Linked DNA regions of Astyanax mexicanus. The main gene of each other region encodes a partner of the protein of the gene in region 4 in a complex. Links are inferred from orthologs where the notes say so. Each region holds a gene or a part of one and is shown on either strand. Other genes may lie near its edges.

Region 1 (7,898 bases), on a different chromosome or scaffold from region 4:
TTTTCCCTTTAACTAAACAATCCCTGCAACCCTGTGTCCTCTGACTAACACAGTCTAAACCCTCCCAAACCCACAGCGCCGTCCAATCTCTCCCAAACACACACTCTCTTTCCCTGCTGAGGTCACAGTCTATTCACAGCTATTCAATTAGCCTCTGTCTGAGAGCAATAAACCCGTCTAATAAAGAGCAATAAAGCCCCGCCCCCTCTGAGAAGGACACTTCCCTCATCCACGATGTGAGTCTACTTTTCTTCTCTCCTTTCTTCTGTGCTTACTCTCTCTTTCTTATTCTGTTTCACTCTTTCTCTCTCGCTCTGAATCTCTCTCACTTTCACTCTTATTCTGTCTCTTTCTTACACTCTCTCACATTCTCTCTCTTTCACACACTCTCACAGACACAAACTTTCTCTCTCTCTTTTATTCTCTTTCACATTTTCTTTCTGTCTCTCTGAATATCTCTCTACCTCTTACTTTTATACTGTCTCTCTTTCTCTCACACACACACACACACACACACATTCTCTCTCTATCTTTCTTTCTCTCTCTCTATCTCTCCTCATTATTATTCCTGGAAGCACTTTCTCTCTCCCCACCGCTTTCTTTTCAGACTTTGGTCTACAGCAGCCACCCAACAACTACCTACAAAAGAAATCCAATGACACACACACATACACACACACACACACACACACATACACACTTTTCTGGACATTACCCCCTTTTTTGGCTATTGGGTTTCTTGTCACACTGCCGTGCAGCTGTGGAATTTATTCAGCTGTGTGTGTGTGTGTGTGTAAGAGAGACACAGAGAGAGACATTTATTTATAGTTAAAGAAGCAATATTGCAGGGTATTGCAAAAAACTGACATTGCAAAAGTCTTCTATTTTGTGATATATATTGCTATATTAAAATAAATACAATATTTTTTACCAAAAATGTACAGGATTGACAGGAGTCAATAATCTAAAATGTCAAAATGTTAAAAATGCACTTTGTTTATAAAAGAATGGAGTACAAATTATTATTTTGGGCAGATATAATACATACCTTTTGGTAGCTGTATCATGTATGTATCAATATTGAGAGAGCAATTTCTCCTTTTGCATCAAGCAGCAAAAAAACTCTGCATCTAATAAAATGTATCTTACTTTATATTGCATGTCCCGCAATGCGACTATGGCACATTTTCACATTATGATTACAATGTATGTATACATATACCAGAAAAACATTTTCCAGGTCATGCATTTGTTTAATATGCTGAGTCTGTATTTCCATCTTATACTAGAGGTGGGAATCTCATGGCATCTCATGATACAATATTATCGTAATACTGTGATTCTGTGATATTCGATATAATATTACAAGACAATTCTCTGCGATACTTTGCAGCATCTGTGTTACTGAAGAGGATAAAATACTCCTTAATAATCGTATACCAGGAATTATTGATTTATTAGTGTCACAGAATTTAACAGCCAACATTCTTCACTGCAGGCGATATAATATATTGCAACACTGCATATTGGTCCCATCTCTACCCTATACTGATAATCTAGATAGTTACCAGTACTTGACCAGCAGAGGGTATGCTGAATTTGATGTTGGTCATGCTTATCTATGCTTCTTCAAACTGGTTATCTAGCTAGTTTTAGCTTGACCAGGTTCAAATCCAACATACCCTATACTGGTCAAGAGCTAAGCTGGTAATTCCTAAACTCGCACAATAACTCAGACATGGTGCTGGTTTACTAGTAGTTTTAAAATTTTAGAGGAGTTCTGCATGAGAAAAAAATTCTCTTATAAAGTCCCTCAGCTCTGTAATAACCTTCCCAAAAATGTTCTGGACTCAGACACAGTCTCAATCTTTAATCTCAAATCTAGACTGAAATCATACCTGATTAGTTTAGCTTTTGGAGATTAATGTTTCCTCTTCCTCAAAGGCTGCAGATTCAGTGGTTCATTGACATACTAATGAATGTTCGACCCTCAGATTCTCATGTCACCTGTATGGCCAGATAGATGGAAGTCTCTGGAAGTGCCCACCGTCCAGGTTATGTCACCTGCCTCAAACTAGTTGCTCACTCTTCTTCACTAATGATTACATCAAAGTTCATATGAACTCTAATTAGGAATTTTCTAACAACTTCACCCCCTGGATGTTTATTGACTTCTTTTAACATTCATTTATAAGCTGTCTGACCAGAACAGGATGGGTCCCTCCTTATATAAATTACCCTTAATAATATGTGATAGTACAAGGCCCATGTAAGTCTTGGTTCCTGCCAAGGTTTCTTCCTCCTCCAGCTCTGAGGGAGTTTTTCCTTGCCTCTGTTGCTCTTTTTTCTGATTTTCCTTACTACCACATTTCTGTAAAGCTGCTTTGTGACAACATCAGTTGTAAAAAGAGCTATATAAATATGTACATAATGTAATTTGATTTGATCATCTGGCTCAACCAGCTTTAACTAGCCATGCTGTTTATTTCAGCAGTGTAGTAGTAGTAGCAATACTCATAATTACAGTAAACAGGTTATAGAGACCCTTAAAGTTCTTATATTTTATATCAAGTGTGTGTATAAAATCCCACTTTAGTAAACACAGTGTTCTCTATAACACTCATAAACAGACATAAACAGTCTGCCCTTACAGTACAATACACCACCAGAACAACTGCTTATACCCTACAGTTAACTCTGTTTAACCCTCCAGGCAACTCGCACCACAAGAAGCATCCACGAGCCACGTAAAAACAGTTTAGAGCATTTACACTGTTAAACAAGCAAATAATTCAGTATAAAAAACTGTTCCACTGAAGCGCTCCTACCTTCTTCTGGAGGAAAACAGGCAGACGGTACACTGCTGCTCCCAGAGGGCGTGTAAGTGTGAGTTAGTGAGTTGGTGTGTGTGTGAGTATATATGTGGTGTGTGTGAGAGGGTGTGTGTGAGTGTATGAGTGTGTAATAAGGCGCTGGATCTGCTCTCCAGACTGCGCGTTATTTTGGAGCCGCCTCCCGGTTTATTTTGGTCGGGGTCTGACCGAATGGCCCCGCCCCCCGAGAGCTGCGGCTCCGCCCACAGTAGCTGAATCTGAGCGCGCGGATACTCCACACACTGCGGTAAGATTTTACACTTACACTTCTGTGTAAAAGGACTTTTGGTGAAGCAAAACATGATAAAAAGTATTTACCTTTATCGAGTAGCTCACCATCGCTCTCCCACAGCTTTCTGGGATCCAGTAATTTTGTACTTTTTGCCCATATTAGGGCATAATTTGCCCTGATAAATCGCTTTTTACATAGTTATCCAAGCTCAAAGTAACTTAACACCACCTGTCTAGAGCCCTGACAAGGCATTAATAACTTAAAAAGTGCACAAGAAGCTTATTAAACACCACTGTTTACATCCTGTGCCGCTAGCTTTCAGCTTCGTGCGCCGCCATCATTGTACTGATAATGACAGACATATATACATAGATTCCGCATATCGTAGCATCCGGCACCAGGAGGCAGGCAGTGTTGTTCCAGTTCACAGCTTTTCTAAACTAGTTCAAGTTCATTTCATACATGCTCAAAGTGAACAGTTCACATTCAAAGTTCACAATTTTAATTCTGAACTAGTTCAAAGTTTAGTTCATTTTACTTTTTTCGTGAGATATAAAAAAAAAAAACTTTTTTCACACTACAAGCTAGGAATCACTATATGTTCTTTGAAACTGCTCATTGTAGACATTTGCTCATGATACTGCAATGTGGGTTTCTTACCAGGTGATGAAAATGTTCATAAGGAATCGGTGACTGTCTCCGTGCCATCACTTCCACTAGCCATTTTTTTTTAAATTGCAGCGCTTTCTCTCACTACAGTCATTGGTCTCTCTCTCTCTCTCTCTCTCTCTCTCTGTATCTCTCTCTCTCTTGCCCTCGCGCCGCACGCTCTCGCCGTTGGTCTCTCTCTCTCTTTCTCTCTCTCTCGCTCTCGCCCCGTGCTCTTTCTCTCTCTCGCCCTCGCGCTCCGCTCTCTGTCTTTCTCTCTCTCTCTCTCTCTCTCTCTCTCTCTCTTTTGCCCTCTCTCTCTCTCTCTCTCTCTCTCTCTCTCGCTCTGCTCTCTAGCTAACGTTCATTTACAGGGATGTCTGCCGTTCATGACACATAATGTGAACTAATTCACGTTCAAGTTCTTTATTAAAAAATGTGTTGCGTTCAGTTCAATGTTCACAAAAAAATGAGCGTGTTCAATGAACGCTTTCTTTTGAACTCGTTCACGCACAACACTGGAGGCAGGCTATGCAGAATTTATGTATATATGTCTATCATATCAGTACAATGATGGTGGCGCATGGAGCTTAAAGCTAGCAGCACAGGAAGTAAACAGTGGTTTTTAATAAGCTTCTTGTGCATTTTTTTGAAGAAGTAAAAAAAAGTAAACCTTTAAGAAGTAAAACATAAAAAATCTCAGCACCTACCAATTGGGGATGAGCACTAAGTTTGGAGAGCCTTTAAAAGGATCACATTTATTTGATTAGGCATAATAAATGAGCTTAAATCACACTCTCAGCACAGGCCATTATCCTAGCACAGTATTTTCATGACACAAGAACATTTTCTCATCTTTCCTTCGATGCCCCAAAAATAATTTTCAAACATTTTAAATAATATTTTGCTATATCAAAAGAAGGCAGAGTTAAACATAGGAATGAAGTAATTAATAAAGAGCATTGACTGGAACAAACCATCTGCATTACATGAAGTAACTACACTGCAGTGCAACTTACACAAACTGGACTTTTACTGTCAAAACATCACACTTACTAGACAAACTGCAGTGCAGCCAGTGTTAAGTAGAGGCCTTGCATTCACATTGTATATAAACATTTACAGTGCCTTGAAATAATTCCATTAAACTGAGCAGAGTGAGGTGCTTCCCTGTCAAACACTTTGAAATACTACACTGCAGCACCAATCATTGCATTTCTAACTCTTAATAAAAATGACCCTGTTTAGCATTGAATTTAATATATTAGGCATTTCCAAACATCATGAGCCTTAATATATCTCTGTGTGTTTTTATCAGCATTAATGCTGCATCACAGAAATGTACTGGCCCACCCCATAGCATGACAGACCATGTTGCACATGTTCCACATGTTGCTGATAACAGTCTGGATGTTTTTTCTCTGGATGAATTTCTTCTAAAATGCTGATTTATCCGACCATGGTGTTCAATTCCACTGTGTGATGGTCCATCCCAGATGCCTCCAAGCCCAGAGAAGTTAACCTAAGGCTCCTCCAGTGCCAGTCTGCACTTCCGTAGGGCCCTAAGCAAGATTCTGAACCTCCTACCTGAACTTTGTGAGCCAAAATGTGAGAATTTCTGAAGCTATATATAGTAGATATAGTTAAATGTAATTAAGATGATATAGGAGAGGTATAATAATTACAGTCATGTACTGCCTCTACACTTCTCCTCACATAGTTCCTACTTTAACCTGCCAGAGATTCATGTTCGAAATACATGCCAATATTGACACGTTTAACCAGGCAGGTGTACAATTTAAGGTGGAATAACTATAACAGAAATAGAACAGCTCCTTCACACCTTTACTGTTTAAGGTGGAACAGAAAATTCTAATATGCAGTTGTCAAACACTATTTAATGTAACAGCAGCAGCACTTATGGTGGAATAGAAGAAAAAGAAGCCAGCACAGCTGTTTATTCTCCAGCTTTCAGCTTCTTATCACCTTAAAGGTTTAGTCCATGCACCTGTAACAGCTTTGCTGTTTAAGGTGGAACAAAAACATTACATAAACTGGTGTTGGTGTGATTGTCTTAATATAGCGGTAGCATTTAAGATGGAATAAGTGTGATTGTGTTATACTAGTGGCAGCATATAAAGTGGAAATAATCTGATTATGTGAATATGACAACAGCATTATGGTGGCACTGGTGATTGTGGGAATATATCAACATTTAAGGTGGAAAATATAGTCTAAATATAGTGACAAAATTTAAAGTGGAACAAAAGCACAGAAGATGATACATTTACAAGAAGATTTACAGTATCAATTTAATATTAAAGACATTAAAGCTATACAGAAACACTTGTGGAATTAGACAATGTGTTAAACAAACCAGAATATGTTTTATACTGCAGGTTCTTCTAAGTAGCACATTTATTTTTGAGGACAGATCTGCACTCTTGGTATTTTATTCTCAGTGTCTTCATGAGGGAGAATCACCTGGAATATTTTTCCCAGCATCTTGAAGGAGTTCCTGGAGGTGCTGAACAATACAATTCACCCATCTCAGTTGATCAGTTTAGATCAGGGGATTGTGGAGGACAAACACTTTTTTTTACTGTTTAATATGTAATTCCTTATTTGTCCCGTAATTGTTTTCATGTCTTTAATATTAATCCACTATGTAGAAAATAAATACAATACAAATAAAATAAAGAAAAACACTGAATGAGAAGGTGTGCCCAAAGCTTTGACAAGTACTGTATATTAATAATAAATGAAAAAAGTTGGGCAGATAAAACTTGCAATTTATTGAATTCAGACTGTCTACATCACACAAAAGTCAAATATTAACATGAAATAACATTAAATAATAAAACATTCTTAAATATTTGATATCACTTATTTATACGGCAGAGTGTGTAATAGCTGGGCATTCCCATTTTAGTTCAGGCCCGTGTTAATGAAAGTCAGCTGTCATCCGGACTGTACTGTAGGAAAAACCTTTGTCTTTTGTAAACAGGAAAAGCACACCCAGCCAGAATGACGAAATTCTAATTACGCATAAAACCATTCTCTAAATATAGGTTTTTAGACACACCAAAACAGCAACAGAGTGAAAACAGCATGAACTGAAGTATAACAGCGGTTTTCTCTGATTCTCTGCAACTGCAAACAGAAAGAGTACAGTGCTGTTCCAAAAGCGTGATGACACATTACCACCTTATAAAACAACAAAACCATGACCTTCTTACTCCAATAATTAAATAAAATACTGTCCCTTTTCCCTGTGGTAACTTTGTGTATATTTGTGGGGGTTAACATTTGGGTCAGATATTGCTTCTTTTTTTAAATCACCCTTTATTGAAGTAGTTTTGGATAGTAGTATAAATTACATAATAATTTTAAATATTAATCATACCTGGGGTGCATTTATGCACAATTTGTTCATAAAATATTTGCTAAATTATTTAAAGCCTGCACACATAAAGCGTTTGATAAATACATTTAAACTGAATTGTACATTACATAGTTCAAATTTTCCGTTTAGGTCTTTAGATTATTAAAAGTTTCGGATATTCAGGAGTTTCAGGATATGACCTGAAATGTTAAAACATCCAGTGAACTTAAAAGGTACAAAAATTAGGTGTTTTTTTGTATATTGTAATAAAAAAGTGCATATTGTATAAAACATATATTGTTAAAAAAATCAAATACATGTATATTGTAAAAATAGAAGAATGTATATTCTAAAAAATGGAAATAGTAAAAAAAAATATATATATATATATTGTAAAAAATAAAAAAAAAAGATAATGGAAAAAATGGAAAAAAGTATATTCATCTGTCTCTTTTCTACATGGATATAATATGAAATGGCCCAAAATCCAGTGAACTTAAATAGTACAAAGTAAACTGACAATGTTTCAAGTGAAAATAAATATTTTTTTAAATAAAAAAAATGTGAATTATAAAAAGATCAAATTCAAAACAAATTAAAATTGTGCATAATGTGAACTATAGTTTTCTACAAGTAAAGAAAGTGTTTCTGTTCATTTCCACTGCAAAGGTTTAAAGCCAAAAGATGGCTGAAGTAAAAGCTGCCATCTTGGTTATACTTGCGCCTGGGGACTGAGCATGTGCAGTAGAGATTGGAGCCA
Region 2 (7,511 bases), on a different chromosome or scaffold from region 4:
GATTGCAGCACGCATTCACTTTGGCATTGTTTCGATAAGCTTCTGCAATGTCACAAGATTTATTTCAATCCAGTGTTGCATTCATTTTTCACCAAGATCTTGCAGCATTGATAAAGGTAGAGTCTGACCACTGCACAAAGCCTTCTCCAACACATCCCAAATATTCTCAATGGGGTTAAGATCTGGACTCTGTGGTGAACAATCCATGTGTAAAAATAATGATCTCATGCTTCCTGAACCACCCTTTCACAATTCCAGCCCGATGAATCTTGAAATTATCATCTTGGAATATCACATTTATTTCACAGTCCAGCAGAAGTATTGTGGCATGTGAAAAGAAAAGATCCACACCAGGCAGCATAGTTATTTTAAGGAAGCTTTTTATTAGGTTTACTGCACACTAGAAATGAGGAAGCTTTGTAAAATAATGTCTGAAATTCCTAAACACTTCACATGATTATTTGATCATTTTTTACCCTTTAATTAAACTTGAAACTTCGATTGCACATCATTTGTTTCATTTCATATCCAGTGTGGTGGCATGCAGAGCATGTACAGATACATTCACATACATGCATATATTCTACGAACACATCGAATTTGTCACGTTATTATTTTCCTTCTCGAAATGACAGGGTGGTCTCAGTCAGGTCGTGTACTAACTCTGCAGTAAAGGAAAGAGAAGCCTGACATCTAGTGGTCATTGTGTGCAATTAATCCTATAGATTTTACAGAAAACCAACAGAATGGTGGTCTCATCCACTGCACCACACCAACCACGTGTTTATTCGCTGTGAAAATACGTTCTTGTACAGTAAACTGTCAAGCGTTTTTTTATTTTTCTTCAGAACGATACAATGGAAAAAAAACTGCAGTTGCAACACAAATTAATATCTGGACACGTTTTGTAAAGAAACAAAAATACTCAACAAAAATATATTCAGATATCATTTATAATCAGATGATAACATTTAACATTTCTATTGACTAATTTCAGTACCTAACGTGTTTTAATAGAAGACAGGGGCTATTTAAGGCACCAAGATTCCATAGTTGACATCATGATGGTGAGGGCTTAATTATTATTTTTTTAATTCCAAAAACAACAAATCGAATAATAAAACAGCAAAACATGCTAAACAAGACTACAGCTACATTTCCATTCTTGTTAACAAAATACAAATACTAAATATAAATCACAGGCACAGCAAAGAATAATGGGAGCACGTATGTGACTGTATGGGTAAGTGTTTTTTGCTTGTGAACATTTATGAAAAAAGATTTTCTATAATTTGATTTATAAAAAAGGTTTTGTAATGTGTGTGTGTGACAGAATGTGTTTAATAATGCACCTCATAACAAGGTTCACCGCTTAAAGTTGCTCAAAGTGTAGACAAACATTTTTGGATAATGAACAAAACTCAAACACACCCAACGTGTCCATGATCCATGGTTTAATGTTTTTACAGATATCACACACATTGAATAAAGATGGAAGCTATTTGATGGATCAAGTTTCCACAGTTTATATCATTATGGTGAGGGTTAATTTATTTTTTTTGTAATTCCTAAAACAACAAACCAAACAAAATAAAATGCATATTAAACTACAAACTAAGACAGAATATCCTGCTCAACAAAACTAAAGCAAAAAATAATTTCTTAGTAAATATAAATCACAGGCATAACTCTAGATTTTTAAGGATTAAATAAATGGGGACACAAATAATTCAGCAAAGAGCCGTTAGAGGGCGCTGGCCACTTAATATTTCCAGTTCTGGCCTGTTGCTGTTGAAGTTCTTTGTTCTTTGAAATGGTGATGGCTTTGCTTTGTGTGTAGTGGTGTTTTTACCCATTTTTCCTCCTGCCAAAGAATGCATATCATCACCGTCACTCAAAAAGTGTGAATCTCCATTTTGGTGACCTCAGACAATGTGTTGCATACACAAAAATATTGGTTAAAATCACTTTTATAATCACTTTTAAAATCTGTACAATGTAACTCTGGTAAATCATCAATGTCTTGTAGGGCCTGCATTAGGATTAATAGCCAAATAATTTATCTACATTACATCACTGCAACATCTCACTGTTTGTAACAGAGGATAAATAATTGGCAATTGGACATTTTAATTTAGATAATTTGTGGTGTGTTATAAAAGGTTTAAGAACTATTTATCTAGATATAGATAACATACAATCAAATAAAGAAATAGGACACCTATTGAAATCATTTGTCTTTTTAAACATATTAAATATTTTGACTTTTATCTTTAGGTAAACAATACTGACAGAATATAATTGAAGGCATAATTAGGCATAATTTTTATAATATAATAAATAGAACCATACTTTTCTTGTGAGGAACAACTTATGACAAGTCCACTTTTATAACTACTTAAAATGCTGAAGAAAGTGTAAATGAGAATCAGCTATTATTATATATTAATAATTAACTATTATTATATATGTGTTCTATATTTTCTTGTCTATTTTCATACACAAGGCGCACCGGATTATATAAGGCACATTTTAAGCGACAATAGTAAGGAATACGGGTGTTGCCATGTTTTCCTTCTAATTCAGCTGGTCTTGCCGATGGGGGCACCTAAGTAAACAAAAATGTAATTCTTAAGAAATAAAAACAATTCTTTCTCAGTTAAACGAGCACTGGATATTAATCTCACAGATTTCTCTCCTGAAAACAGTTTATTTGGGTGAGTAAATTTACTTATAGTAAGCTTAGATTTACAGTATTTTAGCCTAGTTAGTAGCAGCACTAGCCACGATTAGCAGTAGTGCTTAGCGCTGGTAAATGCCTCCCGACAGTGCCACACTGAGGGACCCTGTGTGTTCCGCATTGCTTGGTTTAACACGGTAAACACGCAAGCTACAGTCCGATACACTCACCTCTGAAGAACAAAAGAACTAGCGCTGTGATTAGCGCCTAATGCTAATTCTGCTCCAGCTGCTGGTGAAACTTCACTGAAACTCCTGTTTAACACTATCCTTCAGTGGAGTGGCTTTACTGCTCCTTATAACATGACTGGTATAATTCATACATAAAGCACACCGGATTATAAGGCGCACTGATAATTGTTGCCAAAATGAAAGGGTATTAAGTGCGCTTCATAGTAGGAAAAATACGATAATTCATTACGTAGTATAGTATAGTCCAAATGTATTAATAACGGTGTAACACAGTGTCAGAGAACACATGATTAGCACTTCTAGATATGTTTTTTAATGTGTGGAAAAGCTGATCTGACCAGTGGAAATGACCACAGCTTCACACTTCCATTACCCTGACCATCAACACCCCCGCCAGGGGTGCAGTCTCACTTCCTCATAGACGACTAGCAATAAATAACCCTAATGAGCTACTTCCTTCCACCAACACTCTCTTACTGTGCTAACAACTGCCGTATTTACCTTTTCCTGATTCACACAGAACAGCACAGTTATGTGTGTGTATGTGTGTGTGCGGAATTTTTTGCCATAATTTATTAGGTTACAGAGGTGCACATTCTGAATATTTCTAGTACAAGTAAGTTGGTGTTCTAAACTATTTTTGATTAAAGTGCATACGCACACATCAACTTATATATTGAAATGTAATGATGATATATTAGAGAAATTACAGTATTATAATAAGAGGATAGTTTATTGAGGACAACTGTACAAATGAAAAGAGCCTATAGTACACTGTTGGAGCCTGTAGCCTGGATACAAGATGAGATACAGTTGGCCATGAAGATATACAGGTTCCATATGACATCCTGCAGCACATTTATAAACAGATGTTGCAGCTGGGCCTGTAGATCCTACTCTACACTCATAGGTTGCTGGAGCTGCCATCCCAGCTCCTCCCATAAATCCTTGATTGGTGATAAATCTGTAGAGGGGACAGAACAAGGACATTCCTGGGAAACATTTGCTGTGTTTGGATAAGCAGTTGAAAACCCTGTCATGAGAGGCAACACATGTGGCCACAGGATGTTCTGCACATATCATTGAGCTGTTAGTGTCCCTAAGGTTTCTTATCACTCTGTTTATCATTTATATATATATATATATATATATATGTTTCAGTAAAATTACCATTGTTGTTTTATTCTATAAATTACGGACATTTCTCCCAAATTCCAAATAAAAATATTGTAATTTATATATTTGTAAATATATTTGTAAATATTGCATTTATTTGCAGAAAATAGCATGTTCTCTTCCATCAGTCTTACACACTGCTTTTGGATAATTTTATGCCACTCCTGGTGCAATAATTCAAGCAGGTCAGCTTGGTTTGATGGCTTGTGATCATCCATCTTCCTTTTGATTATATTCCAGAGGTTTTCAATTTGGTATTAAGTGGTCTAATATTTTTTCCATGGCTGTATATATACTATACAAAAATGGCTAATATAGTGCCATTAAACTAGATAAAGACACACACACACACACTGCATGTTTCATACCCTGAAAGGAAGCAGGGCGGAGAGAAGGCATGCGAAAGTGCACACACACATACACACACACACATTGAAACTCCAGAAGCAGACCTGAAAGCAGAATAAGAGGACTGGAAATCAAACAGGTTTCACGTTTCTCAGCGGACCTTCTGAAAATTGCACTGGACTTCAGCCTTCAGGAACCCTGACCCGTTCTCTAGAACTTCAGAGATGCTCTCTCTCAGCAGAACTGCTCTATCTGTTCGTCCTAATCTCCTGGTTCTTCTCCTGGTTCTCCTCTCGCTCTGCACGGCCTCATCTCAGGCTTCAAGAAACTTCACCGGTGGACCTGCCCGTAAGTGTCTTCAGCTCATCCCAGAATAGGACATGGACTAGCTTAATGCATTGGACTGAAAATGTACACTGTTCTAAGGAACCTTTAAAGGTTCTTCAGTTTGAAAGTGTATAGGAGGAAACCCTTAATCCAGCTAACCTATCTTTGCATTAGAGGTTTTTTTAAAAGTTACAATTAAAGTTAATAAAGTGTCAATCTAGTTTTATGAATGTTCTTAGAACGTATATTTTGTATTTATTTATTTTATTATTTTATAATTATTTTATAATAACATTACTGCAACATCAGTTTTGTATTTAGTTGCTAAATGTTCTTTTAATGTTCTGTTCTGGAAAGGTATTAAACCTTTAAAAAAATGTTTTAGAACAATATTTTTTCCTGATGGTTGCTTAAAGCAATTCAAAGGGTTCCTCCTTCACATTTTCAAATTGAAGAACCTCTAAATGTTCCTCAAGGATCAAACAATTTTAACAACTTAAAGGAACCTTTAAAAAATGTTTTTAGAAGAATAATTTTAACAGTGTACAGTACACAGAACCAACAGTTCTGTACACTACGTGAGCAGCCATTTAAAGGGTTAAAGAGGCTTCACATGAAGTTATGTAAGGTGTAAATGGTTTGGAAATATTTTGCTGTAGGACATTGTTAATAATGTTACATAACATCAACATAAGTGCTTTGATAACTGACATAACCATATTTCTGGAGATGAATAGGCAGTCCAATATAAACTGTTAGAAAACTGTAAAAACTTTATTAACTATGACAAATGAAAAAATAAATAGTATTATTCTAATTTTCTATGTTTAAACTGAGCCTCAAATGATTAAAAAGTAAGTTTTAAAGTGTTTGATTTTTCAAGTTTAATCTCTAAGTTAAAATACAGCTTGACCTCAGGGGTAATCTTTGGCAGTGTAGTTTTGCAGTGTTTATTCATAGGGGTCGAGAAGCATGATTCAGCTCTCCTGGTTTTGATCCACTGTCACTGCGTTGTTGCAGTTTGGAGCAACACTTTGAACTTACTTGATTTAGGCAGATTTTACCTTATATGCACACTGAACAGATAATTCAGCCTCCCAAACCCACACTCACCAATACTGTGTAGTCTTTCCCATAAGGACTTTCCTCCCCAGTGTATTCAGTTTTATTTAATGGAATGTTTGTGGGGCTTTGAGTAGTCCAGCGGGCTAAGCGCTACCACTATGATCAGGAGATCTCATGATCAGTTCGATGATCAGTTCGAATCCTGTTCATGTAGCTTACCATCAGCTACCGGAGTCCTGAGAGAGCACAGTTGGCCTTGCTCTCTCTGGGTGGGTAGATGGCGCTCTCTCCCCACATCACTACAAAAGGGTGACGTGGATCAGCACAAGGCATCTGTGAGCTGATGTATCGGAACCGAGTTGCTCAGTTTTTCTTCCGAATGTGCTGTGAGGTGGGAGAGGCGGTGGCTGGCTTTACATGTATCAGAGGAGGCATGTGCTAGTCTTCACTCTCCTGTGAAATGTGTTGGGGCATCACTAGTGAAAGGGGGAGTCTTAGTGGGTGGGTTGAGTAATTGGCTGTGTAAATTGAGGAGAAAATGGGATAAAAAAATATATGTAATGTTTAACTGCCTGGCCACAGCTTCAATGTTTTCTCACAGTTCCTGCCGATTTTACAGTAGGGGTGGAAAACACAGATAGTGTGACATGTCTGCATCACAAGACCTAAATTAATTAATTACACTTATTCAAAAAGGTGTGAAATGCTATTGGATGCTCTATCAACACTCCACCCCATCACAAAATCTGTAGGAACTGTGTTCGAGAATATTGTGGAATAAGTTGAATGGGATGGATATGAGAGAAATCCATTAGGAACCTCTACAACTCTGTGCTGAGACACCTGGCATGTTGCTGCATTAAACATGCGCGTTACACACTACTTCTGTATGTGTAGCTCAATAAATATTACCCATATCAGTTTAAATCAGTTTTATTTAATTTTTGCTCTTAGTAACTTTTCTCTTCCTTCTGAACAGCATTAAAATCCCTCACTTCCTACTGGGTGCAGCTATTTTAAAGAGTTTAAAGGGTTAAAGCTCATGTGTCTTCATGACTCACTGGTACAGGCAGTAAGTTGCTTAATCATGTGGGAAAGTAAGCACTGCCAGTTTGCTGAATGAAGACAGACAGTGTGAGTATAAACTGGGGTAAGGGATTAGACCTGGTTGGTGAACTGAGTTGAAGCAGGAAATCTGCAGGCACCAGGAATGTGGGGAGTGCCTCTGGAAAAATTGGGAACACATGTGTCTTTCAGAACAGAGTCAACTCATGTGAAAACACGTGAAAAAACACAGCCAAAAGGAAGATCAATTTACCACTGAAGAAAGTGTATATTAAATAATACTCAACTAATACTCAACTGCATATAAGACCCTTCAATACAAGTCAAGATCATGATCACCATTGCACCTGGCAGCGTCGCTGTCAAAACATACAAAAAATACAACTTTCCATTGACCACACCAAAAATAATAACCATGGAACATTTTTAAAAAGTATGTTACAATGTAAAAAATATATATTTATTATAATAAAAAAGAAGGTTACAAATTTGATCTAAACATACTAAGTAAGCATTTATGTTATCTTAGAACTACTTACCTATGATTATTACACCCTGTGTCTAACACAGTTCCTGTTTGCAGTCATTTGTTTCCAGGC
Region 3 (7,792 bases), on a different chromosome or scaffold from region 4:
CTCGGTGATGTCATCATACAGGGAGGGGGAGAGGATTCCAGTGGTAAACTGTGCAGCTCTGATGAACTTCACGCCCAAGACGGTTAGAGAGCAGAATTCAGAACCCACCCATTTAAAATAATAAAAACTTCTGAATACTTCCTCTTTTTCTGTTCTATTTCCAAGCACTAAAAAGTTGTATCTGTGAAGATCACAGTTAAACCCTGGAATATTTATTTAATAAGTTTTAGTGGCAGAAGTAACGTATGTGGTGCGAGTCTCACCCCGAGAGTCATGCTCTGCCGATTGTAGCCGGCAAAGTTAAGGATGCTCTCAGTGGCCATCGCCAAACCAGTGTGCTGAGAAAGACCAGAAACCCAGTTCTGATGCTTATTTAGGTACTCCTGAGATAAAGAGAGAGAGAGAGAGAGAGAGAGAGAGAGAGAGAGAGAGAGAGAGAGAGAGAGAATGTAAAAATGAGTGAGAACTAAATGTATTGCCTTTTTATATCCGAGTATAAACAGTAAGAAAGTGTTTTAGGTTCAGGTGCCGCAGTGTGAACAGGCAAACTGTACCTGTAGGTGAGATTTGGTAACAGACGACGCCCACTTCATCGCTTCTTTCAAAATTTCACCACAGCGTGCAGCAAAGTCCTTTACTATACTCTAATAAAACACGACAGCAGAAAAAAATATTATTTTTATATAACTGTTACATTCTTATACATGCATACAGTATAGATATACAGTACTGTGATGAAAATCTAATCTAGCCATGAGATCCAGATTAAATCAGCACAACATTGGGGATATAGATCAGAACTTTGACTGGATCATTCTAACACATGAATATTCTCTGATTTAAATAATTCCACTGTAGCTCTGGCTGTATGTTTAGGGTCATCGTCTTGCTGGAAGGTCTCAAGTCTTTTACAACAGCTTTTCTTCTTCCAGGATTGTTCTGTGATTATCTCCGTCCTCAGGGTGAGTAAATTAAACTGAGGGAAGGACAGTTGTCAGGTTTGGTTGCTAAAACCCACACAGCTCAAATAAGAAGATTCTGAATCTCTGCATAAGTTTAATGCAAAAAGTCTTTGAATTCATGCGTTGTTCTGATTTGTCTTTTATTCTATTTTTTTCTCACCTCTCGAGCTTCATGTGTGTCCGGTACTGTAATTCTGTGAGGAGTATCAGGAATGTCATAATAAGGCTGGTCCTTGTGAATATCCTGTTCAACAAAGAACAAGAACCAACATTTAAAAAATACTTAAATACAATATTTAAAATATAAACATGTTTTCACAGTTTTAGTTTCAGAGACCCTCACCGCACTCAGAGACAGAGACAGTGTCTGCAAAATGTCCAACATAGTCTTCAGAACTCGTCCGCTCCACAGCAGGTGAGGAAACCTAAATAAATAAATAAAATAAATAAAGTATGAAACAAAGCCTGTTTAATAAATTCACTGATTCAGATTTTTTTATGAGGAGACGCACGTTTCAGCCAATCCTGAAAGATACTTGTCAGCCACTCGTCGAATTCTCTTGTGGGTGTGGTTAAAGTTGACCAGTAAGAACTGTGCGTGGCGTTCCAGCTCCTCCTCATGCTCTTTAGTTTTTGGCTATAAAACAAAAAGACACTTTACTAAAATATATAATAATAAAATACAACCTCCTGCAGATGCTAATACAGTTAGGCCCATAAATTAAAAATACATTTTGTAATTAAAGTTCAGACTTTCAGGAGTTTTTAGGAACTACAACCATTTTTCTATAAAAAAAATCATTTCAGGAGTTCAAAAGTAATTGTACAACTAATTTCAGAAGCTGTTTTATGGGCTTCCTGGTCCATTCCCTAATTAATCCATCATCAGTTAAGAGTTTATTTCAGGTGTGTTATTTTTATTTGGAAGCTGTTGCTGTAAACCGACAACATGCAGTTAAAGACGCACCAATGCAAGAGAAACAGATTATTAAACTGATAAAAGAAGAATTAAAAAATAACATGATCTCAGCAAAATGACTTTATTACTCTGCCATATTAAAATTAACCTGTGGTTAATACCAGTAAGAAAAACATATTCCAGGTAATTAGCATTTTTATATTAATTCATAATTCAATCAAATCATATTTATTTATATACTTTTTGTATACTGATGATGTCACAAAGCAGCTTTACTGAACAAAGAATCCGAGAAAACACTAAATATATAATAAAAAACCTCCAGTGAGGGACGGATAACCTGAGCTCACCTTTTCTGCCATCATCTGGAGAAACACCTCAAACACTTTGTCGCCAACACAGATCACACACTGCATCATCCCTACAGTCCAGGAGAATCGCAGAGAAACACAGAGATCAAATACAGTGTTTTTATATTAAAGATTAAAGATAAAACTGCTCTCTTTTCTTCTGACCTGACTTGTCCTTCTGTATGGCCTTGTCCTCAAAATATCTGAACATCACCTGGAACCTGTCCGCATCGTTCGAATGCAGCATCCTGAAGCAGAAAGTTCAGAAAAATTATCCAAGTTGTGGGAACAATTAGTAGTTGATCAATTAAAACCAGAAATCTATTATATGAGTTTTATCATTTAATTAGTCAGATTTTGCTTCTTCTGTTTATTTGTTATATGATACATTTAACTGAAATCGCTGATCCAAACAACCAATGATTTATAAGGAAAATCATGAAAATGATCAGGAGTTCCCAAACATTTCATACCACTGTAAATATTATGGGATGCCCTGTGACCCCTGACTCTAATAATCAGGTGATTTACATGTGAGAAACTCTACAGTAGTGTAGTACCTCATGTACTCCAGTCTGTAGACGGACAGCAGGTAGGTGCACATGGCGAAGTCCAGTTTGTTAATGAGAGCCGCAGCTTCCGGCGCCGGATCCAACAGATTAATTATGGTGCTGCGCAGATCGTTCAGCTCCGCCTACAGAAAAGCCATTCAAAAACAGATACTGAAATTGTAATAAACCAGAAACTGGTTTACTTAAGGGGTTTAGATACAACACCCATATATTTAAGGATTAACACATTTTAACTTGAGGCTTCAGTGGTACAGTAAAAATAATGTTTTTATACATAAAGAAAAAAAATCATTTTAACAGGTAAATCATGTTTTTGGAACTTTTTTTAAGGATTTGGAATTTACACTTTAATCTAACAAATACTTCATCAGTATTGACTGACAATCTTGACTGATAAAAAAACTGTAAATGAGAAAAAACTTTTCTAGCAGCACCTGAAAAAAGTATTAAAAAAAGATAATTTATAGAGTTATGACGAGATCGCGTACTGCGAAATTAAATCAGCACATTATTCTCATCAGGTGTAAAATGAGTCTAATGAGACCCACACACCAAAACACAACACAGAGATGCAGCCATGACCGATAGGGGTTGCCAGTTTAAAACAGAACCCTCACTGGGGGGATTCTAACAAGGGCTGAAAAGACTGATGGGTTTATATGATATATAATTCAGAATCTAATACAACCTGCAGTTGGTGAATTTTAATCATATATTTTAAATGAAAAAATCTCGTCTCATTCTCATGAACCCAACGTATTATTTTGTCTCGTCTTGTGAGCTGAGTGTCTCGTCACACCTCTAGTTATTCACCATTTTTTATCTTATGGAGAATTACACTTTCTATTGCTTTATTTCTTTGCTACAGTGTGGATCTATCAAAACCTGACTTTTAAATAATAAGTGATTTTGGAAAAACTTTTACAGGGAAATTGATGCATAAGCTCATATTACGGGTAAATTTAGCCCCTGATGAAGTTCAGGGCACCTGAGTCACAGTGTCGTTCTTCAGGGCGGAGTTGTACTGAAGCTCGGAGCGTAGCGGCTCTCCGCTGGGGAACGTGAGCAGCGGCGACTTCGTAGCAATTTCACAAACCCCCTCATACCACTCCTCAGGCCACAGTCCTACATTACACAAATTATTCCATAAATTCATAAATTCTCATTCATATATAAAACAATATATAATAATAATATATATATATAAACTAAATAACTGCAGTCTGGAGAGTATAGTGTTCTGATCTTCTTACCGGAACCTTCTACAGCGAAGCCCATGACCACCGAGTAAAGCCAAAAATCCCTGAACAGCTTCTGAAGGCGGGGCTTAGCCTCTTTAATGGGGGGCAACCGCCGGGTCAACTGTAAAAAAAAAACACACAGACACATATCATACATCTATTTCTCACAATACATATATTAATCAAGCAAAACATTATGACCACCGGCTTCTTTCTCCACCAGTTATCCATTTTTCTGCTCCAGATAGGAAACTTGGTTGTCAGGTGTTGGTGTGTGTGTATCATGGTGGTGGTGTAAAAAACACACACACACACACACAATAACACCTCATACACCATGCTTATCACTGCAGTGCTGAGAATAACTACATACCACCCAAATAATAATAACATTAATGATAATAATTAAAATAAATAAATAATAATAAAAGCTGTATCTCTGTAGTGGTTTTCTATTCTGTAAATTCTGAGTTTTAAAGAAAAAAAATAAATATACAGAGAAACACAAAAACAACAACAGTCTGGAGTTATTATACAACTACAGAGTGAAATATATGATATATAAGTGGATAATGCAAGTTATGCTTGGATAAATGTTATTCTTGATTGGTGTCGGTTTATGCTAAATGGTTAAAAATGTGATTTATCAGCTGTGTGCAGTGAAGGAGTTAAAGCAGGGATGGTGGGGATAAAGCTATGGGTGCTGCTACTCTTTGAACTGGACAGTGTTTGATCAATGAAAGCCAACGTCAAAGTCCAAAAGTAGGATTTGGTCACAAACAAACGGAGTACACAGACAGATTGATCAGAGAGACAGCAGGTAAGTGGGAGAGGGATTTTTTTGTTGCTGTGATATTTTGTCTTATTTCCATTGTTTTACACAGTTTATTTAAAATATAAACGCAAATTATAACTGCCTTATTAAAAAAACTTTACATTCACTCTACAATTGTGTTCATAAGTTTACATACCCTGGCAGAATTAGTGATTTTTGCTCATTTCTCAGAGAATAGAAATAATAATAATACATAAACTTTTATGAAGTGGGAGTTTTGGCATGCTAACACACACAGGTTGACACACATGGGTTAAAATGACGGCTAATGGTAACTTTAGCCACGGAGAAAGCATAAGAATTATAGCATCTGCAGAAGAATATTTTATATTCTTATAATATATATATATATTATAAGAATATATATATATATATATACATATAAAGCAGGAAAATGATATAGTATTAGGAATGTTAATCAGCAGTGTTTAAACTCTAAATACTTAATGAAGTGGAAAATGTGGGATGGTGTTGAAACCAAGTCAGGCAGATCAACAAAACGTTTAGTCACAGCTGCCAGGAAAATAATTCAGGATGCAAAAAACCCAGATAACAAATAAATCAGCTAACATACAGGACTCTCTGAGAAAGAGCTCTGTTTCAGCGTGACCAATAGGAAACATGGGCCGCAGGGTCGAGTCGCCGGAAGAAAGCCATTACTACACCAATTCCAGCTCGCTTACAATAAACTCACCTGGAACTGAGCCTCAACATTTCAAACCAACCATAAACATTACAGAGGAGCCAAAAGTCCTGTTCAGGGCAGTTTTAAGACATTTGGGGGCCCCAAGCAAAATGGATCCCACCACATCAAATTCTTCATAAAATGTATATTTATATTTATTACACAGACTTACTACTTGTAACTTAACATATTAGATATGCATTCTGAATTCCCATACGCATGACGCTGCACGACCACATAATGAATACCGGCGTCTGAATGGGAATCGCGTTTAACACAGACGAGACGTGAGAAGCAGGACTACGTGATCCGTAGTGGTCAGTAGTGATGCCCTGTGTTTAAGCCCGTAAGGGAAAAGGCCTCGCGGACGGAAGAAGCGGTGGATGAACCGAATAAGAGAAGATATACGACACGCCAGCTTCGCCCCTGAAGACACTTTGGATCGAACCAAATGCGTCAGGCATCCAAACACAGACCCCTTTTCTCCGGCTGCTTTGTTCATCATTCTAACATACTCCCCCCCCCCCCCCCCGTGAAACCAGCAGTGAAATACAGATCTATAAAGGTATTTGTTAGCGTTGCTGGAGACGCATGAGCACGGCTGAGCTCGTGGCATTGCACCGCTGTCGTAAAAAATTAAATAACATTATAATAAATAGCGTCGGATAACGTTGAAGTGTAGTTCAAACAGAAAACACCATAACCACCATCTTTACTGAAATGTTATATTGTTGTTCGACCAATGGTGAAGTTAAATGTGCTGTGTTTCGAGTTCAGACAGAGCGCAGCTACAAATATGAATTCAAATCATAATCATTCGTCCCTACTCTATAACATGGAGGTGGATCATTAATGTTTTGCGGATGTCTGCGCTACAGAGGCACCTCTTACCATGAATAAATTAATATTTTCGGTATTATCATTCAAAGTCTCTGACAAATAGCCAGAAAATAACTTATTCTGGAAAAGGTAGGTGAACTTATGAGCACAACTGTGTGTGATGCAAAAATCTCAGTAACTGTCCTGTTATAAGTCTATTGTTTTCTGCATTTCCTCAGGGATGTGGGTTCTCTCAGTCGTTGCGCTAGGCTTTCTCCTAGCCACTCCAGCTCTAGGCGGGGTGAAGGACCTCAGTTCACACTTCAGCACTCAGGAGACGGAGAAAGATGGCAACAAGCCTGTGGATCCCCGAGGGTTTTCACAAGGAGGTGAAGACCTGAACATTGAGTCTATTCCTCTGGACTTCCATCGGGAGAACACGGTCACTAATGACCTGACCCTGGAGGGCTTGGAGGAGGAGGACTACATTGATTTTGATAAGATCCTGGCAGGAGGTGACGATGATTACACCGAAGGTGACGCCATAGATGAGATCTCCACTCCAGCACCAGGCCTTGATCTCATGTCTGAACCGTCAGACCCCAAAGTACGAAGGGCACGACTCCTGCGCCTCTTCCACAGTCGGACGAGGCTACAGCGCATCAACGTGGTCAATTCCCACTTCGGGTTCCGCCTCTACCGGAGTATCCGCAACCAAATGAACCAGACAGATAACATCCTGCTGGCCCCTGCTGGAATCTCCATCGCTATGGGAATGATGGCTTTAGGTACAGGTCCATCCACACATGAGCAGCTCTATCACGCACTGGGCTTCAACGAATTTGTTAATGCGAGCAGCCACTACGATAACTCCACCGTGCACAAACTCTTCCGAAAACTCACACATCGCCTCTTCAGGAGAAACTTCGGATACACCCTGCGCTCTGTAAATGACCTTTATGTGAAGAAGAACGTTAAGACCAAGGACGGCTTCCGCAGCGAGGCGAAAGCGTACTACTTCGCTGAGCCTCAATCGGTGGACTTCACAGACCCCAAGTTCCTTACGAAGGCAAACCAGCGCATTCAGAAGATTACCAAAGGGTTAATAAAGGAGCCACTGAAGAGTGTTGATCCCAACATGGTGGTAATGCTTCTAAACTACCTCTACTTTAAAGGTAAATCAAATAAAAAAATCAACTGGTTTAATTGACAGCCCCAATGAAAAAAGTCTAAAAACAACTGTAGGTGATCTGCCAAACTGAGAACCCTCTGAGTGCGTCACAATATTCTAATAATAATGTTTGAATAAGAGTCCCAGGCAGAACTTTAATGGAAGAATAGAGATTTGGGGAGGTTAACGCCAGCTGTTGGTGTAAAATAACAACCTTCTTAAACTTAATGGAACCTGT
Region 4 (7,908 bases):
CAAAGAGAGCACACCATGTGGGCTGACTGAGGATAAAACCACATGCCCTGGCCCAATGGAACAAGACTCAAAAAGGGAATGTGAAGGTTCGTGCACAGTAGCTTTTAGAGGGACATGGCTTTTGGGTTTAATTTAACTTTGACTGTGTAAGCAAGGCAGCCATTAAGAAAATGCATTAAATTGGCCCATGAAATTGTGTGTTTAATTTAAAGACCATATTATGCCTCAGGCCTCACACACCTCTACATTTTGTTTTATACTGTGTTATATTGAAAGTATTTTTCATAGCAAATTATACAGAGTGCCACTCCTTAGTCACAGTGCCTGAGGACATTATTCACCGCATACTAGTGTGTGTTTTGTATTATTTTAATATATATATTTTTTTACCACAATTGGAGATTGCCTACCTGATGGATGCACGAAAGGATGAATTGCAATGAGAGCAGCCTCACTGAAAAATGAGTATGGCCTTGCTACATCACCAAGTAACTTGCTACATCATCCCAGCATCACACATAGGACATCAAAGATATTTTAAACAAGAAGGAAAAGCTTATAAAGGAATTATCTGTACCTACAGATATAAGGCCAATTTATACTTCTTGCAGCTACACTGCAGGCAACGCGTTAACTCAACGCAGAAGTATAAACCAGCCATTACATTATAATGGGATCAAACTAATAATAGAACTGCTAAATAAAAAATGGCCTACTTCCATCTACATTGTTCGTTTGCTTCAATTTCATTTTAAAAACTTTGCAGACATGTCCACAAGTTGCCAGCCAAAAAAAGTGGACATGTACCATAAGGCCGTGCCATAGTTGCCGTTTGACTAATTAGAATTAGTTTTGCTGTGTTGCTAAATCAGCACCAGGAAATGTACTGATTTCAGAGTTAGAAAAGAGCATGCTAGAAAGTTAGCTATGGATCTTGTAGCACAAGGTGACAGACAAATGTGGGGCCAGTCAGCAGATTTCATCATTAGGCCTTTCCAGTGGACGGTTGTTTTGCCCCAAGTATGGTAAGCTAGACACAGTAAAATAAAAAAAAGTTAAGCTCAGCCCAGTTTGTAGGAGTTCTATATGAAAAAGCCACTGGAATAGTTAACCTTCTCCATGCATAGACTTTTTGTCTATGTAGTGGAAAAGAGGCCTAGGCAAACCTTTCAGAACTGCTGTTAAGAGACGGAGAAAACATTTAAAAGAACAGTTCATAGAATTCTCCATGAATCGTAAAGAAACGGATCTTTTGTTCCCCTCCTAAGTTCAGACTGACGTTTTAACATGTATCACATATGCTTCGTGTATTTCACAGAATCAGTGGTGAAGGACCCTACTGACAACTCAGAAGAGGCTCAGAAAACAACACATCCTAACATTCAGAGGAAGAGGCCACTAATCTCAAGTGTAAAAAATAATCCTGTGCGCTCCTCTCAAACCGTGGAAACTGGTAATCTGGGACAGACTGCTTTGGATGACAAAACAGACAATGACCAGCAAGAAGCAGAGGATAAATCTAGTCCTGGGGTGCTGTGCAGCATCCGAGAATCCAATTCTCAGGAACAGCTTAAAGGAGCTGAGAGAGCCAGCCCTCGCCTGGCAGCTAAACCTCGCAAAGTCCACTCGCTAAGCAGGTGCATGCACAGGCGACAGCAAGCAAAGCTGACAAATGCGGCTTCTGCCTGTGTTGATAAAAAGATGCTGACTACAGAAACTAGCACTGGAAGTGGATCAGCTCTGGGAGAAAAAATCCTCACTGAAAATTCTAACTCTGATGAGAAGCAATCTGGTCTGGTATGGATAGAAAAGGAGGGTTCACCAGAACTCTTACGGTTCAGCCCACGAGAGCGGAACTACAAGTGTGACCTGTGTGCTAAAAGTTTCTTTCAGCTGTGTCACCTAAAGAAGCACAAGTTCACGCACTCCGAGCTGAAGCCTTATGCTTGCACAGAGTGCGACAAAACCTACAGCTCCCAGGAGAGTTACCGTGCACATTTGCTTATGCACCGTGGACAACGGCCTTTTAAGTGCCAGCAGTGTGACAGAAGCTACGGGCTCAAACGTGACCTCAAGGAGCACCAGGTGCTTCATACGGGTGAAAAACCCTTTGTTTGCGATGTTTGTGGCAAGGCTTTCGCACGCCGGCCTTCGCTGCGAATCCACAAGGAAATCCACAGAGCCAAAGAAGCGGACTACCAAGCACCAAAGATCAAATGCACTAAGTGTGGCAAAGAGCTGGCAAACCGGAGCTCCCTGAGGAATCACATGCGATTGCACACAGGCGAGCGGCCGTACGTCTGCTCCGACTGCGGCAAGAGCTTCCGCCAGCGCGGCAATCTGCAAAGCCACCTGCGCATTCACACTGGAGAAAAGCCATACAGGTGCAAGCACTGCGACCAAACCTTCTCGCAGGTGCCGGAGCTGCGTCGGCACCTCATTTCCCACACAGGTGAGGCATACCTGTGCCCAGTGTGTGGCAAGGCACTGCGCGACCCTCACACCTTGCGAGCCCATGAGCGCCTACACACTGGCGAAAGGCCTTACAAGTGCGAGCAGTGCGGAAAAGGGTACACGTTGGCCACTAAGCTGCGCAGGCATATGAAGTCCCACCTGGATGAGAAGCCACACAAGTGCGAGACATGTGGAACCAGATTTACGCTTATGCAGAGTCTACAGCGCCACCTACAGTCCCACCAGAAAATAACTAAGAAAGGACATGCAGCGCCAGCCAGGGGTAGACCTAAAAAGATGACTCCTAAAAAGAGAGGTGGACAGTCAGGTCATTGTCAAGGCAAGAAGAAAAAAGAAGAAGAGGAAGGTGTGGTTTATGTGCAAGCCCTAGCAGAGAACTGCAGAGAAGGTGCTGAAGTTTTTGAAGAAGGGCCAGAACAAATTGAGCTTAGTGAGGACATTGTAGAAATTGTTGTTTCAAATGGCAGCAACAAGTGTATCATGGTTCAGGAACTGGAAGCTAATGCTAAGTGCATTGTTTTACGGGAGGATGAAGAGAATAAGAAATGCATAATTGTACAAGAAGAGATTAATAATAATAGTACCCTGGTCATTATGCAGGACCATGATGATCCTAACTCAGTGGCAGAAACTGTTGAAATCGATTCAGCCACCCAAGACTGAACATGTTAAGCTCATTGTGACTATTAGTGTGTCATTTGATTTGAAGGTTATTTTGCAGTGGTAACATCTGCGTTAGAGACATCAGTAAATATTGACTTATCTGCCCACTGGACCTTGTCATCACTGTTTGTTCCAGATCTGAACAGGCACACTGCTGGTAACGAATATGTCAGGAACATGCTGATTATTGGTGATACTGTTATCTTATTATGAGTCAAATCATGTTTAAATTATATTTTTTAAGAAAAAATAACAATGATGAAATATTAAATTAGAGCTGGGGTGAAATATCATGATTAATATATTATGTCACAGTATTTAAAGTAGAGCTGGAGCCAAGAGATTTTGTCATATAGGTATACATTTTCTTATTGTATTGACAATATGCTTTTTTAAAGCATATCGAGGATATCATCAGTGGTTAAAGAGCATTGAGAAAAATGTGCATTACATTACAGAGAAACAACCCAGTTTGATTGGATGTAAAACTCTGTGTATTGTGAAAGTCTAGTATCATGGTATAATATTTTTTACCAAATAATCAGCGCTTGATTATTTACACCACGGGTGGTGGAATTTATACTGTTAATATTGATATCAGAATTATATCGCATTATAGAAATGAAGAAATTTAATGTGATATCAAGTAATTTAAAGACATTTTCAAAACATGCAACATTTATCACATCATTTGTCCCTATGTTTTGTCACAAAGACAAAAAGCATCAACATTGTCAGATTCTTGTATGTTAAATAACATTAAACAAATTGCAAATTCTTTCCATCTCTTCCTTGTGTGTAGTCCTTGTTTTACTGTAATGATGCTGCTGAAATCTAAATTTCCCTGAGGAAATCTTCCCAAGTGGATCCATAAAGATCTATCTATCAAGTACTGTTTCATGCATAGTAAAGTAATGTTTTTTTTTTTTGCTGGACAACATTTAAAACTAGTACAGTTGGGTCATTGTTCTTTGTCCTCTTCTTTTAAAAAGCCCAAAAAAAGTCAGACGATAAGAAATGCAATGAAATATTTTCATATTGCCCAACTCTATATTAACGTTTTATTTGAATTCCTATCTGAATTAACTGCTTATTGATGCAGCTTGAAACAGTCTAAGTACCACAGATCTTCAAGATGTGGTGGAGTCAGTAAAGAACATAGGCAGTGGATGATTTTAGAGTTGGATGGAGTTTTAGGGAGTCATGGAATTTTTGAAAACATTTCATTTGTCAAAGCTTAAATTGCTGCACCACCCACTGCACTGTCCACTGTGAATAATAATTCTTCATATGACATAATCCAGGTACACATATGACACTTTGGATTGAGAAATATTATGTCCCATCCATCTGGCACACACTATCAGGCCTCGCTCCAACACCAGTTATTCACATTGGCCATATTGCCATGAGCTCGATGGCCACTGCTCACTCTCACAAGATAACACCTCACAGCGTATACAGATGTGTGCATTCCCAAGCTGTCCACTGATATAATACTTTACATTTAATTTACATACTGCTATTCTATGATTTCATACAAATATAAGTCCATTTTGTTTAGGAAAATGACTGGTGACTGGTTTAGTATTATTATTTCATTCATATCATATTATGGGTTGATAATGAATGTTCCTAAGTGTCCTTAGATATTTCTAGAACATCAGGGCTGAATCATGAATCAGTGATCAGAGTGATATGAGCTTGCACACAATCTCTGTTTTCTGTTCTCTTTGAACTCCACTGGTTCAATATTAACTCGAGGGCAGCAGTGGAAGGTTTTTGGGGGCTTGCTAGCAGCTCTGTGGCTTTGTCTCCAGTGATGTTCCAGGTCTTTTCAGGATTCCAGTAGTCCCTGTAAAAGAATGGGAGCAGTACCAGCACCGATCCTTGTCACACTTCTTCTCAGCCAAGTGCTCCAGCTTACACTGTGCTATGATGGTGAGAAACCCATGTTAATACTTTTGGTATCAAATATATTGTATGTAAAATGGTGTGTCTATAGAGTTAATAGGTTTGTGGAGGTAGACGGTTAATCTTGTGTACGTTTTTGTCAGTTTTTATCGATAGTAAGAGGGCTTCTCAGGTTATCCGAGTAAGGAGAGCAAACACACTCTTAGAGGAGCTGAAGCAGGGAAATCTGGAGCGAGAGTGTGTGGAGGAGATCTGTAGCAATGAGGAGGCTCGAGAGGTGTTTGAGATAAGTGACAAAACGGTAAGGACTGCTGAATTCTGCTACATGATGTGACGTATGTAATCCTGTTTAAATTAAATACTTCTCAACATAACATTTGTAAGGTCACTTTCCCAGACAGGGATTTAATTAGTCTTAGACTAAGCCTTTCAAAAATATGTAGTCTACAACTTAATCCTCAAGCTTAATCCTTGTGGGAAAATTGCCTGTGTGTGGACACCATTATTGTTTACTGTCTTGTTTATTGCATTCATCGACATACCATTCCAGAAAGTGGTAGATTAATTTTGTTTTATTTAAACATTTTGTAAAATGGTTTCTCTTTCTTTTAGGTTCAGTTTTGGGAGAAATACTTAGGTAAGGCATTACACCACAAACTTCCCAGTAGGCAGCAAAGTCAGCAGTGACCACATTTTGAAATGTAAATATACATTATTGAACCAGGAGCAAAGTGCAGTGTTCCCCAGTGTTTTTTTTTCCTTCTGAGTAATTACCAAATCAAAGTCCTAAACTGGACTTTATTTAATCTAAGGGTTTCTAATGTCAGTCAAGAACAATACAAAAACGCAGTGTACTATTAGGCTTCCTGAGCATTTGTTAGTTGCAGTATTCCTTTAATGTGTGTGTATATTAGTTCCAGGCCAGTGATAATAAGCTATTGAAAAATGACACAGAAATGACAGAAATGTTATGTAAGGAACACTTTATATAAATAATGTTTATATTTCATAAAATTGAATGAAAATAAAGAAGTTTAATCTCATTACCATCTTTTTTATGGTTTTGTTAGCTTTAACTGTTTCTGGAACAATGTGATGGCAATAGTGAAAGTTCAGGAAACTCATTAAAACAGGGCAAGCATAAACATACCGTGATTATCTCAACACTGTTTAGATCTATTTTGTACTGCTTTCTTCCACAGCTTGTGATGGCAACACTTTGAAGAGGACTCCAGACAATATTTCGAAAGTAAGAACGTGTGTGAATAAAAAAGGTAAGGGCAACATTTCATAAAAAAAAATGCACCCATTGTATACAGATGGTTGTTATTCCCAGTTTGACCAGCCTGTTTTATAAGATTTAGAGATGGATTCAGCGTACAGCACATAATCTATGTTAAATTAATATATAAATAAATTAATTTCCTGTGGAGAATGAAAAGAGTATATTAGTATAAATAACTGTGTCAAAATATTAGTTCACACTTACATGTATGTAAAAAATGTAAACTCTGCATTCTGTAGTTTGTTTGTGGTGAGGACATGATTCGTCCTTGATTCAAACAACTACCAATGTTGCTGCAATTAAACTGTACAGATATACACTAGTCCAGAACACGCGAACCACGTTCCAGACTATTTACATAAACTATTTTCTAGATGGTTTTGACTTTTAGACCACAAATAGGAGGTCAAGGAAAGCTATATTTATCCATTCAACAACAGAAAAAGATCATAAACGATAATACAACAAAAATACAAGAATCAAAGGGAAATATATCTGTTAAGCTTATACTGCTGTATGAAACGTGCACACAATGGGAAGATGAGTCTGGGGAGATGCAGTCTGTGTATCAAATACATCAACATTGATTTGGAATCTGGTGTGAAGATGCTCTGAGATAAAGAAACATTGATGCTCTAAAATCTATAAAGGCAACTTCTACTACTTCAGTTAGTAGAGCCGTGTATTCATATATGTGTTGATCATTGTGTGCTGTACAGATCACTGCTATCTCAACACTGGTGAGCACTACAGTGGTGATGTTAACCTCACTATATCTGGAAAGACTTGTCAATACTGGAAAAGCAACTTCCCCCACAGAATCATGTATGTATAATTATTTCTCTAGACCTCTTGAGCTTCACAGCTGTAGTTGTCATTGATAAAACATGGAAATAGTATTCAAGGCATAAAGACTTGTATGTTTGAAAAACAGATTATATTTTCATTTCAAATTAAAGGTCAAAATGATTTGAGAAAACTGGAAGTGTGAAACAGTTTTTGATCCATTTTAATGCATTGTTTTTCCATTCCAGTGAGATTAATCAAACACAGCTGAAACTTCCTGAGAACTTCTGCAGGAATCCAGACAAGAGCCCTACTGGACCCTGGTGCTTCACCAGCGACCCCACTGTCAGGAGGGAGAAATGTGCAGTGGCAAAATGTGGTACTGACCTTAAAGCATGCTTCACTCAAAGCACTGAACACCCCAAACATAGATAATATAGCAAACTGTGAAGGGCTTCATCTGTTTCTTATATTAAGCTCAGTCTTGAGGCATTAAGTATATCAGTAGTTAGTCTTAGTCTAGAGTTTTCATTGAGAATTTTATTTAATAAATAATAAAACATTTAGTAATATTATATTTAAGTTCCTTTATTGGTTTTATAGCAGCCAGTGATGTTTTGAAACTTAATATTATGCTGCTTTCCATTTACCGTTTACTGTATTGGGATGTATAGCTAAAAATGACCTTACACCCTGGTTGACTGGGTTCCAATTAAACCTTTAGATAATTTCTATTTCAAAGACTTTGGTGTAGAAGTTAAACAGTACTGTGTGTACAATTGATA

The links.
Region 1: the proteins of f2 (region 4) and serpine2 are in contact, whole or in part, in a crystal structure (PDB 4DY7), measured with the Homo sapiens proteins. The link is inferred for Astyanax mexicanus from reciprocal best matches to the Homo sapiens genes F2 and SERPINE2. Residues at the interface, in NP_000497.1 of Homo sapiens: His406, Tyr410, Pro412, Trp413, Trp455, Arg456, Glu457, Asn458, Leu459, Glu509, Thr510, Ile542, Asp562, Ala563, Cys564, Glu565, Trp590, Gly591, Glu592, Gly593, Cys594; in NP_006207.1 of Homo sapiens: Val225, Arg288, Ser355, Ala356, Thr358, Thr359, Ala360, Leu362, Ile363, Ala364, Arg365, Ser366, Ser367.
Region 2: the proteins of f2 (region 4) and si:ch211-132p1.2 are in contact, whole or in part, in a crystal structure (PDB 2PV9), measured with the Mus musculus proteins. The link is inferred for Astyanax mexicanus from reciprocal best matches to the Homo sapiens genes F2 and F2RL3. Residues at the interface, in NP_034298.1 of Mus musculus: Glu385, Leu386, Leu387, Cys388, His403, Tyr407, Trp410, Asp411, Arg428, Arg453, Glu454, Asn455, Leu456, Trp501, Gly502, Asn503, Trp508, Thr510, Gln516, Arg538, Ile539, Asp559, Ala560, Cys561, Glu562, Gly563, Asp564, Val585, Ser586, Trp587; in NP_032001.2 of Mus musculus: Asp54, Lys55, Pro56, Asn57, Pro58, Arg59, Gly60, Tyr61, Pro62, Gly63, Lys64, Cys66, Asn68, Asp69, Ser70.
Region 3: the proteins of f2 (region 4) and serpind1 are in contact, whole or in part, in a crystal structure (PDB 1JMO), measured with the Homo sapiens proteins. The link is inferred for Astyanax mexicanus from reciprocal best matches to the Homo sapiens genes F2 and SERPIND1. Residues at the interface, in NP_000497.1 of Homo sapiens: Lys384, Ser385, Pro386, Gln387, Leu389, Leu390, Cys391, His406, Cys407, Tyr410, Pro412, Trp413, Asp414, Lys415, Leu423, Arg425, Ser430, Thr432, Arg433, Tyr434, Lys440, Ile441, Ser442, Met443, Asn458, Leu459, Lys470, Trp511, Ala513, Asn514; in NP_000176.2 of Homo sapiens: Glu75, Asp76, Asp77, Asp78, Tyr79, Leu80, Leu82, Ile85, Phe86, Asp89, Asp91, Val305, Glu306, Met307, Thr308, His309, Gln327, Asp343, His361, Lys362, Arg388, Thr457, Val458, Gly459, Phe460, Met461, Pro462, Leu463, Ser464, Thr465.

The regions. Positions count from the first base shown.
Region 1 is NC_064425.1:38,394,538-38,402,435, forward strand, and holds the start of serpine2 (glia-derived nexin), read right to left. Parts: upstream 3,003-7,898; 5' UTR 2,829-3,002; intron 1-2,828. UniProt on the Homo sapiens protein: Serine protease inhibitor with activity toward thrombin, trypsin, and urokinase. Promotes neurite extension by inhibiting thrombin. Binds heparin.
Region 2 is NC_064417.1:33,611,861-33,619,371, forward strand, and holds the start of si:ch211-132p1.2 (proteinase-activated receptor 4), read left to right. Parts: upstream 1-4,499; 5' UTR 4,500-4,679; coding exon 4,680-4,803; intron 4,804-7,511. UniProt on the Homo sapiens protein: Receptor for activated thrombin or trypsin coupled to G proteins that stimulate phosphoinositide hydrolysis. May play a role in platelets activation.
Region 3 is NC_064419.1:52,598-60,389, reverse strand, and holds the start of serpind1 (heparin cofactor 2), read left to right. Parts: upstream 1-4,786; 5' UTR 4,787-4,864; intron 4,865-6,622; 5' UTR 6,623-6,624; coding exon 6,625-7,558; intron 7,559-7,792. UniProt on the Homo sapiens protein: Thrombin inhibitor activated by the glycosaminoglycans, heparin or dermatan sulfate. In the presence of the latter, HC-II becomes the predominant thrombin inhibitor in place of antithrombin III (AT-III).
Region 4 is NC_064430.1:14,447,532-14,455,439, forward strand, and holds the start of f2 (prothrombin), read left to right. Parts: upstream 1-4,905; 5' UTR 4,906-5,003; coding exon 5,004-5,079; intron 5,080-5,195; coding exon 5,196-5,353; intron 5,354-5,664; coding exon 5,665-5,689; intron 5,690-6,254; coding exon 6,255-6,326; intron 6,327-7,056; coding exon 7,057-7,162; intron 7,163-7,371; coding exon 7,372-7,502; intron 7,503-7,908. Other genes in the region: znf408 (zinc finger protein 408), read left to right, coding at 1-86, 1,319-3,138. UniProt on the Homo sapiens protein: Thrombin, which cleaves bonds after Arg and Lys, converts fibrinogen to fibrin and activates factors V, VII, VIII, XIII, and, in complex with thrombomodulin, protein C. Functions in blood homeostasis, inflammation and wound healing.